Drosophila melanogaster: one gene and its partner. The protein of the gene in region 1 purifies or fractionates together with the protein of each later gene. This does not show direct contact. Each region holds a gene or a part of one and is shown on either strand. Other genes may lie near its edges. The genes, in order: Polr2C and Polr2M.

Region 1 (3,536 bases):
ACCCGACTCTTGCAGAGTTCAGGGCCTCCTACGCGGTGGAGCTATGAAAACCGAGGATAAACCCATTTGGTACGATGTGTACGCCGCCTTTCCGCCGAAACTGGAGCCCCGATTCGACAGACCCGCGCCTGAGATTCCAGTGCGCCAGATATTTTATGCCGAGGATGTTGTCCGAGCGTATGTTTTTCACCTGCAGTCGGGCTTATACCAATACTGAACTAATCTTGTACACCAACAGAAAGCTGCATAAAGAAAACAAACCCCAGGAAACGATATCCCTGTTTGACCACAGGCGCAGCACGCAGTCACAGCAATTTGTCCAAATATACCAGGACCTGAAAGGACAAGGAGCCCTGGATGAGCAAAGGATCTACGAGACCGCACTGGATCTTTTGGCGGAGCAGCGCCAGCAGGCCCGCCTGGAGACTACCCCAGAGGAATGCCTGCCAGAGCAGGATTCGGAATCCAAGTCCCAGCTGCTGAGCGACTTCAAGGAGGCTGTGGTGAGCCAGCAAATCACGTCGTCACCAGCACCACCTGCTCCCAAGGGAAAAAAGGAAGCGAACGTGGGCATTAACATAGACAGCTTGTTCAAGGATTAGGCGGAACATCTTTTATAAACTTAAAATAAACTTGTTATATGTAAATCAAACGGCCAATGCATCGTTTTGGGACTCGTGGCTGAGTTGCGTCTGCAGGTTTGACAGCTTGTTCTTCAGCACCTGCACACCCATGACCACAATGTTCTCAGGCTTAAGGGCACCGGCGGATTCGACGTTGAAGAAGAACTTGTTTGGCTTGGCTTCCCAGTTGTAGGGCGCCTCGTACTGGTCGTCCTCCAGTTCGGTGTGCTCGCTCTTTGGCCACTCATCAGGTTTGGGATACAGAGTGTGTCGCATGGAGTTGTCCGGATCATACTCGAAGCACACGCCTGCGGTAGGATTCCACTTGGCGTGCTCCTTGCCAAATCCCTTCTTGGCGTAGGCGCGCAGCTTCAGCTCCTGCCCCTTGCGCAGCTTAATTATGAGGATCTCATCGTTGCTCTCGCCGTACTCGTTGTCCTCCTCACCCTGGTTGCGGGACGTCACCGGCAGGACCTTGGCATTGCTCGACTTGAGATCGGCGGTGGTCACGTGGCGCGTCTGTTCCTCGCTGCACTTTACGTCCAGGGTGAACTCCACGCTGCATTCGGGGCAGAAGTCCAGGCAGATACAGTCACGCGTGTACTGCAGCCGCTCCACGACGTCGTCGGAGATCAGCGGTATCAGACCGATCCGGTGGGCTAAAAACTCATCCGAGAGCACCGTAGAGTTGGCTTCCAGTTGCACCCAGTCGATGGCCAGCGTCGGCGTCTCCGCGATGAACACTCGCCGCAGGCTGTTGGCCACACTCAGTTCCGTGTCCTCCAGGACGAACTTTACGTTGTCGTCCGTCAGCTCGGTTATCTGCACGGACGGCTGGTTGGCGTACGGCATTGCGGTTTTGTTTTGATGAAATTAAAGGGTCACGAAAAAAATAACCCGCTCAGTGAAAAGGAAGCGATGGAAGTGCAGCAATAACAGCCGGCGATAAGTGTGCCGTTATCGATTGTTGTTCTCGTTTCGGATTTATAGCTAGATTTTTAACAATAAGGGCTGGATATATTAAATTGAACAAATGTGATGGAGACATGTTTAATTAAACTAGATCACAATAACAAGAAAATTGCTTTAAATTAAGATAGAATAAACACATAAATCAACATTTTTGCAAGGACAATACTTTTCAGATAACATTTAGCTGATTGTTCCGAAACTCAGTTCCACCTCTGATTTTGTGCTGGTGAGAATGTTGCGTCTGTTCAGCAGCCGTTTTTACTGCAAAATTGCAACAAAATCGAATGAAAAGGCCACTAAATTGGACTTCAAGCAGCTAACGCATCCCACCAAGGTGCCACAGACACCAGTGGACTCGAAGTTTCCCGACACCAGCGCCTCCGAAATCCAGATCGACACGAAAACCATCCAGTTGCTGGAGCGGCTGTCGCTGGTGGATCTGGATAGCGAACGAGCGCTGGCCACGCTAAAGAGCAGCATACAGTTCGCGGACAAGATTGCCCATATCAACACGGAGCACGTGCGTCCACTGTACACGGTCCTGGAGCATCAGCAGCTCCAGTTACGCAACGACCAGGTGACCGAAGGCGATTGCCGGGCGGAGGTGCTCCGGAACGCCAAGGTGACGGACGAGGACTACTTCGTTTCGCCGCCGGGCAACATTCCGCTGGAGCAATGAGTCGCATACAACGATGCTTTAAGTCCCTGGCTTCCGCTGGCTTCTTTCGCACCGTGGAAGACAATAAACTGGAGCTACTGAGTCATGGAAGGGAATACGCCAAACTGTTGCAACAGCATTGGACACGACTACGTCCCTTGGCTGCGCACCTGGGCGCCACGAAAGAACCCATAAATCCAGTCAACATCCAGCGTTTTTCCTTTCCACAAAGCCAGCAATTCCGTAACAATTTCCAAAAACTCGTCAAAGATCATCCTCGAAAGGCCAAATGTCCCACTCTTCTGAAACATCAAAGCACTTGTTCTGGTCCCACTAGCAATTCCCTATTTGGGATAAAGGGTCCTACGCTACATTTAACCACGGACTTCCTAGTGGAACCACATCGCGCACTGGAGCACTTCTACAACATGCAGCGTGAGAGCAAGATCTGGTGGATGCGTCTTTCCTCGAATCCCAGTCGCTACCGCATCGTACCTTGCGATTTGGCTGAGGATCTCAATCCCAACGACTATCAAGCCATCGATATCCGCACGAGCTACGGTGATGCAGGAGAAGTGACCGTGGAGCAACTGAGCCTGGTGAGAATAGTGGACGACAAAGACTTCCGGCTGCCCGATGCGCGAACGGGTGAAATTGTGCAACCGACTGTCATAAGGTCTGTGATAGAGCTGGAAACTACCACCTGCGGTAAGTGGTCATCATAACTATCTTTGAAAATCTTTCTATATTATTATCCTTTAGCTCTGCTTCTGGATGGCTGTGATCATGGCCGGGACTCGCAATCCCTGCTCTTACACCGCGTTCTGGCGCCATATCAATGTGGAATTGCCTGTGTGGAAAGTGATTCCGAGCTATCTGCTGACTTGTCTGATCTTTGTCAGCATCTGAAACATGTTCTCAACCACGCCGGTCTTAGACTTTCTGAAGGGGATGGAATTCGTACGACGAAGAACGCTTCTCATTTAGCAGAGCACTTGCTGGAAACGGATATGCTCGGCATACCTTATACACTTGTTATAAACGAGCAAACGCTAAGAAACGGACTGATGCAGTTGCGCAGCCGGGACACAAGGCTGGCGGAGACCATACACATAAGCGATGTACCGGACTATTTATTAAATATATTTAAAAACTAAAAAAAACAACCAGGGGCTACATAAAGTCGCAGAGATATTGGCGGACATTAAAGCCCACCACCTTGCCAATCTGCAGGACAAACTCCAAGCCAATGGTGCACTGCAGCCTAGCGGAACCTTCCATTA
Region 2 (3,990 bases), on another chromosome or scaffold:
GATAGAAGACCATTTCGGGCTTGGGCCCATTGGTCACCTCGCAGGTGATCCAAATCTTGGGCGTGTTGCCCAGCTTGCCCACGGTGTCCTGAAGGCTCGCTGGCGCCTCCTTGGGCAAGTCATCTGGCGTGTCGTAGGTCTCCGGCACATAGCCAATAACCTTGTTCAGCTTGATGAAGACGGTCGGCTTTTCGGTGGCGTAGCCCCACGTAGTGTCCTGGTTGAAATCGGCGAAGAAGTCAATGGCATTGTCGTTCAATTTGTTCAGGAAATCGTCGATGCGGTCCGCAATCGGATTGACCTCACTCATGATGTGCGTAAAGTAGGCCAGCACGGATCGATTCTGGTTGGGCACCATCGACAGACCCGGCGGACCCTTGAGCCAGCGCGGCTTATTCGGATCAATGATGGCCAGCATAAAGATGCCCAACCAAAAGGCCACAATGCACACGATTAGGGCGTATAGTACCAGGTAGAAGCCAGTGATACGCATCCAACCCAGAGCTGTGCGTCCGAACAATTTGTGCTCGTCTATGTCGAATATCCTCTTCGACCACGGCAGGTCCTTCTTGCGACGTGTCTCCTGGTTCCGGCGTATCTGCTTGACCAGCTTGTAGTCCCCAGCGGGCACCATTACGTCCTCCGGCATCGTGGCGATCGTTCCGGTTCTGATTTGGCTACTGGTTACGTGGGCGTAAGTGGGAAATATTCGAAGCTTGTAGCTTCGGTTCACTATGAAATCTAAAGCGGAGTAAACTATAATTCTCAAATAGTTTTATTATTTTGTTAAGTATTTATTAATACATTAATAAATCCAGCTGAGTTAGCTGATCTCACTCGTACCACTCGTCCAGCACCAATGGAGTGGTTGGATGAACTGGTGCCGTCAGACGCACCAGCATCTTGACCGTTACCATATGGAGCGGTATGTTCTTAGCCCACGCCTTGCAGTGGATTTGGATGTCCTCGTTGATCGGAATGTTGCTCAACCGAACACTGATGATGCGCCTGAGGCGGGGATCCTCCTTGTAAGTAGGTCCGTCGTCGTCCGAAGACTCGTTGAGAAAGACATTGCCGGAGGTGAAGAGCTCTTCGGCATCGAAGAAGCGAACCGGATGGTAGTCGAACTGAATGTCCACTCTTGGCTCAATAACCTGGCAGGACACCCAGATGCGGTTGAAGCGCTCCTCCGAGCCCAGGCCCACCACATAGTCGAATAGCTCATCCGGAGCGTACTCGGGCAGCGTTAGGGCGTCATCGTAGGTTACCGCCTGGAAGCCCAATGCCTGGGTGATCTTTATTAGAATGCACGGCGTGCCGGACATATAGCCCCAACTGTCGTCTATGTTACAGCCCATCAGGCGCTTCGGGCCTTCGAGACCGTATCGTTTCACCGTTCGCATTATCGCGCGTTGTATGTTAGCCACATCCTTAATGTTATTAGGGCTCCACATAATTTGCTTCTGATCACCGACATGGTGTCCGGGTGCGGTTGCTAGTCCGGGGAACTTTTTGCATCCCGGCCTATCCGGATATATATGATTCGCAATCATCACGAGGGCCAATCCGGTTGTGAATACGCCCAAAACGAAAAAGAATCCGATGAAGTAGAGCAGCAGTTTGATAAAACGGCACACGGTCATCTCGGGATCCGCATTGCGTGTGCGAATGGAACGCCTGTAGAGGTACTCCGCCACACGCATATCACGACGCCGGCGAAGGCGTCCCAATTCGTAGGGACCAGAATAGATTATCGCGTCGTTAGGCATGGAATAATAATATATGGGTACTTAATTATATCTTATGGAAATATATGAGGGATTTCAGAAAGCTAGCTTGGGGTGGATTAGAAATATAGGAATGTATTCCGCACAGAAATCAGAAGCACTAATGTATATTTTTGAATAACGCGCCTTTTTGTCGATAACGATAGGCGTTAAGTGAACTCCTGTAGCCCTTTGCTTCGTAGCAGCACTAAGTATTTTATCGCAACCACAGCACGGTCATACTAAGCTTATGAGCAAAATAAGTGAGCCAAAATGGGCGATAATGTGATTCCTGCTCCGCTTAGCCGTATCCCGGGCACCAGCCAGGCGAAGGAGAAGCACAGCAAGGACCTGAAGACCCTTACCTATCCGCAGCTGCTGGAGATTAAGGACAGGCAGTCTCACTTTCTGTCGTTCAAGTGAGTTTTAGTTTCCACCTGTGGAGTTCCCTGTGAATTTATCTTATTTAATTTTATCTCTATTTAGAAAGCGTTTGCACCAACTGCCGGACAAGGGAAAGCGTCTGCAGGAGTCGTACGACAAATTACTGGCCGAGATCAGGAGGCGGGATGAAGTAGAGGAAGCGACTCGAATGTTGAGCGGTCTCAACATTGTCGAAAAGGGCAAAATTGCTCTCAACAATCTGGAGTGGAATGGCAGAAACACGGACGAGGGCGCCCATGTGGACGACATTCTGGACAGCGATGATGAGGTGGAGATGGATCCGCTGCGGATTATAGCGCAGGGAACAATGCACGAGAAGAAGGTCAAGGTTTTGCCTCCGCCAACGAGTTTCATTACGGCAGATGATCTGGCGGATATCGAGGAGTTTAAGAAACCAACCGACTCCCCAGATTCCGCCTTGGCAGGACATAGTGACACCAGTTCCCTTCCTGCCGAGATCGTAGAAATCGACGCCAGTCAAGTGGCCGCAAAGCTGAGCAGGGAGCTGCCTCCCGATCAGCATGCCCTCTACCTCATCGATAAGACGGAAACAAATGTGAATACTCCTAGGGAAAAGTTTATGCCATTCCGAACCACCAAGTCCAATGTCCACAATCCCGACAAGGAGCGCGTGCGCAAAAAGGGCAAGCATTGGGAAATAACGGCAGCAACTCCGCCACTCATCCAGCACAAAGAGGCCCAGTTGGTGCCATTGGCTGAGTCGGCTGCGTTACAGATTGATTACATGCAAAGAGTAAAGGTAATTTCATTGCTTATGGTCTACATAATTCGATGCTAAATACACTTTATTTGTAGGAGGTTCGCATTCAGCAGGCTGAACAGCGGCTGGCCAGGCTTAAAGACTCTCGACTCCGACTTGGCCTGCCCGAGGAATCGATTGTGAAAACCAAGGAATCCTTCCGCAACTACCGTGATCCCCAAGACACTTTTCTCATCGAGGGCAGGCAAAAAGCCAGCGAAGCGAATGAAGTGCAAGATCCTACTGTTCAAGACAGAGGATCGTCCGCCAGTGGCATTCATTACACGGTGTTCGAGTAACCTATGGGCAGAGCATGAGATAGAATCTATGCTATTCGATTTCCAAGAAACATTGTGTACTATTTATTCGCGTAGGCAACAATTACCAAATAAGACTGCATACATAACTATACTGTGTATACTCTGTGAATACTTAGATTGAATAGAACTGCGTGGCTGTGGAGGCTTGCAACTCGATCTGGCCCATCTTGAACTGCAAGCGCTGCAGCCATTTGAGCAGAGCCTCCGACTTGTACGTTTGCTGCTCCTCGTAGTCCGGTGCATAGTCTCTTACGTTTTGCAACCGGACGTGCAAAGTGTCCGAGAGTTGCGTCTGTGACGAGAGTACGGGGCTCCACATGGGTAGCAGTTTGCCCAGCACTGTGGAATTGGTGTCCTTCAACGCCTCCAACAGACTAAGGAAGTGCAGATTGACCATCTCGGACAGCTTGGAGTTAGCACTCTGCGTCTGAAAGTCCAGGGGGGTCTGCGGCTGATCCTTATTGACTGTCGGCTTGGCGTGGGACACCAATTGCAAGATGCAGGGCGTCACCTTTGCCCAGAACTCAAAAAGAACGCCTAACGTGCTGCCCTCCGCATTGCTATTGGTATTGTGGGCCATCTGCTCCAAGTACACCGTCCACAGTTGACATAGAGTGAATGCATGGAATAGCGAGGACATGTGCAGCACGGAGGTCTTGGACTGCTCCGCAAATCCGGCAAAGATCACCTGAATGTGATC

Evidence for each region.
Region 2: the proteins of Polr2C (region 1) and Polr2M purify together in Drosophila melanogaster (affinity purification with western blotting; one study listed by BioGRID). This does not show direct contact.

What each region holds. Positions count from the first base shown.
Region 1 is NT_033779.5:13,831,363-13,834,898, reverse strand, and holds Polr2C (RNA polymerase II subunit C), read right to left. Parts: upstream 1,563-3,536; 5' UTR 1,476-1,562; coding exon 648-1,475; 3' UTR 603-647; downstream 1-602. Other genes in the region: mRpS23 (mitochondrial ribosomal protein S23), read left to right, coding at 16-177, 239-602; GatC (Glutamyl-tRNA amidotransferase, subunit C), read left to right, coding at 1,828-2,274; PolG2 (DNA polymerase gamma subunit 2), read left to right, coding at 2,271-2,961, 3,016-3,410; Orc5 (origin recognition complex subunit 5), read right to left, coding at 3,427-3,536.
Region 2 is NT_033777.3:19,227,459-19,231,448, forward strand, and holds Polr2M (RNA polymerase II subunit M), read left to right. Parts: upstream 1-2,004; 5' UTR 2,005-2,039; coding exon 2,040-2,185; intron 2,186-2,252; coding exon 2,253-2,970; intron 2,971-3,026; coding exon 3,027-3,269; 3' UTR 3,270-3,374; downstream 3,375-3,990. Other genes in the region: CG11703 (uncharacterized protein), read right to left, coding at 1-649; CG5250 (uncharacterized protein), read right to left, coding at 834-1,769; unc79 (uncoordinated 79), read right to left, coding at 3,403-3,990.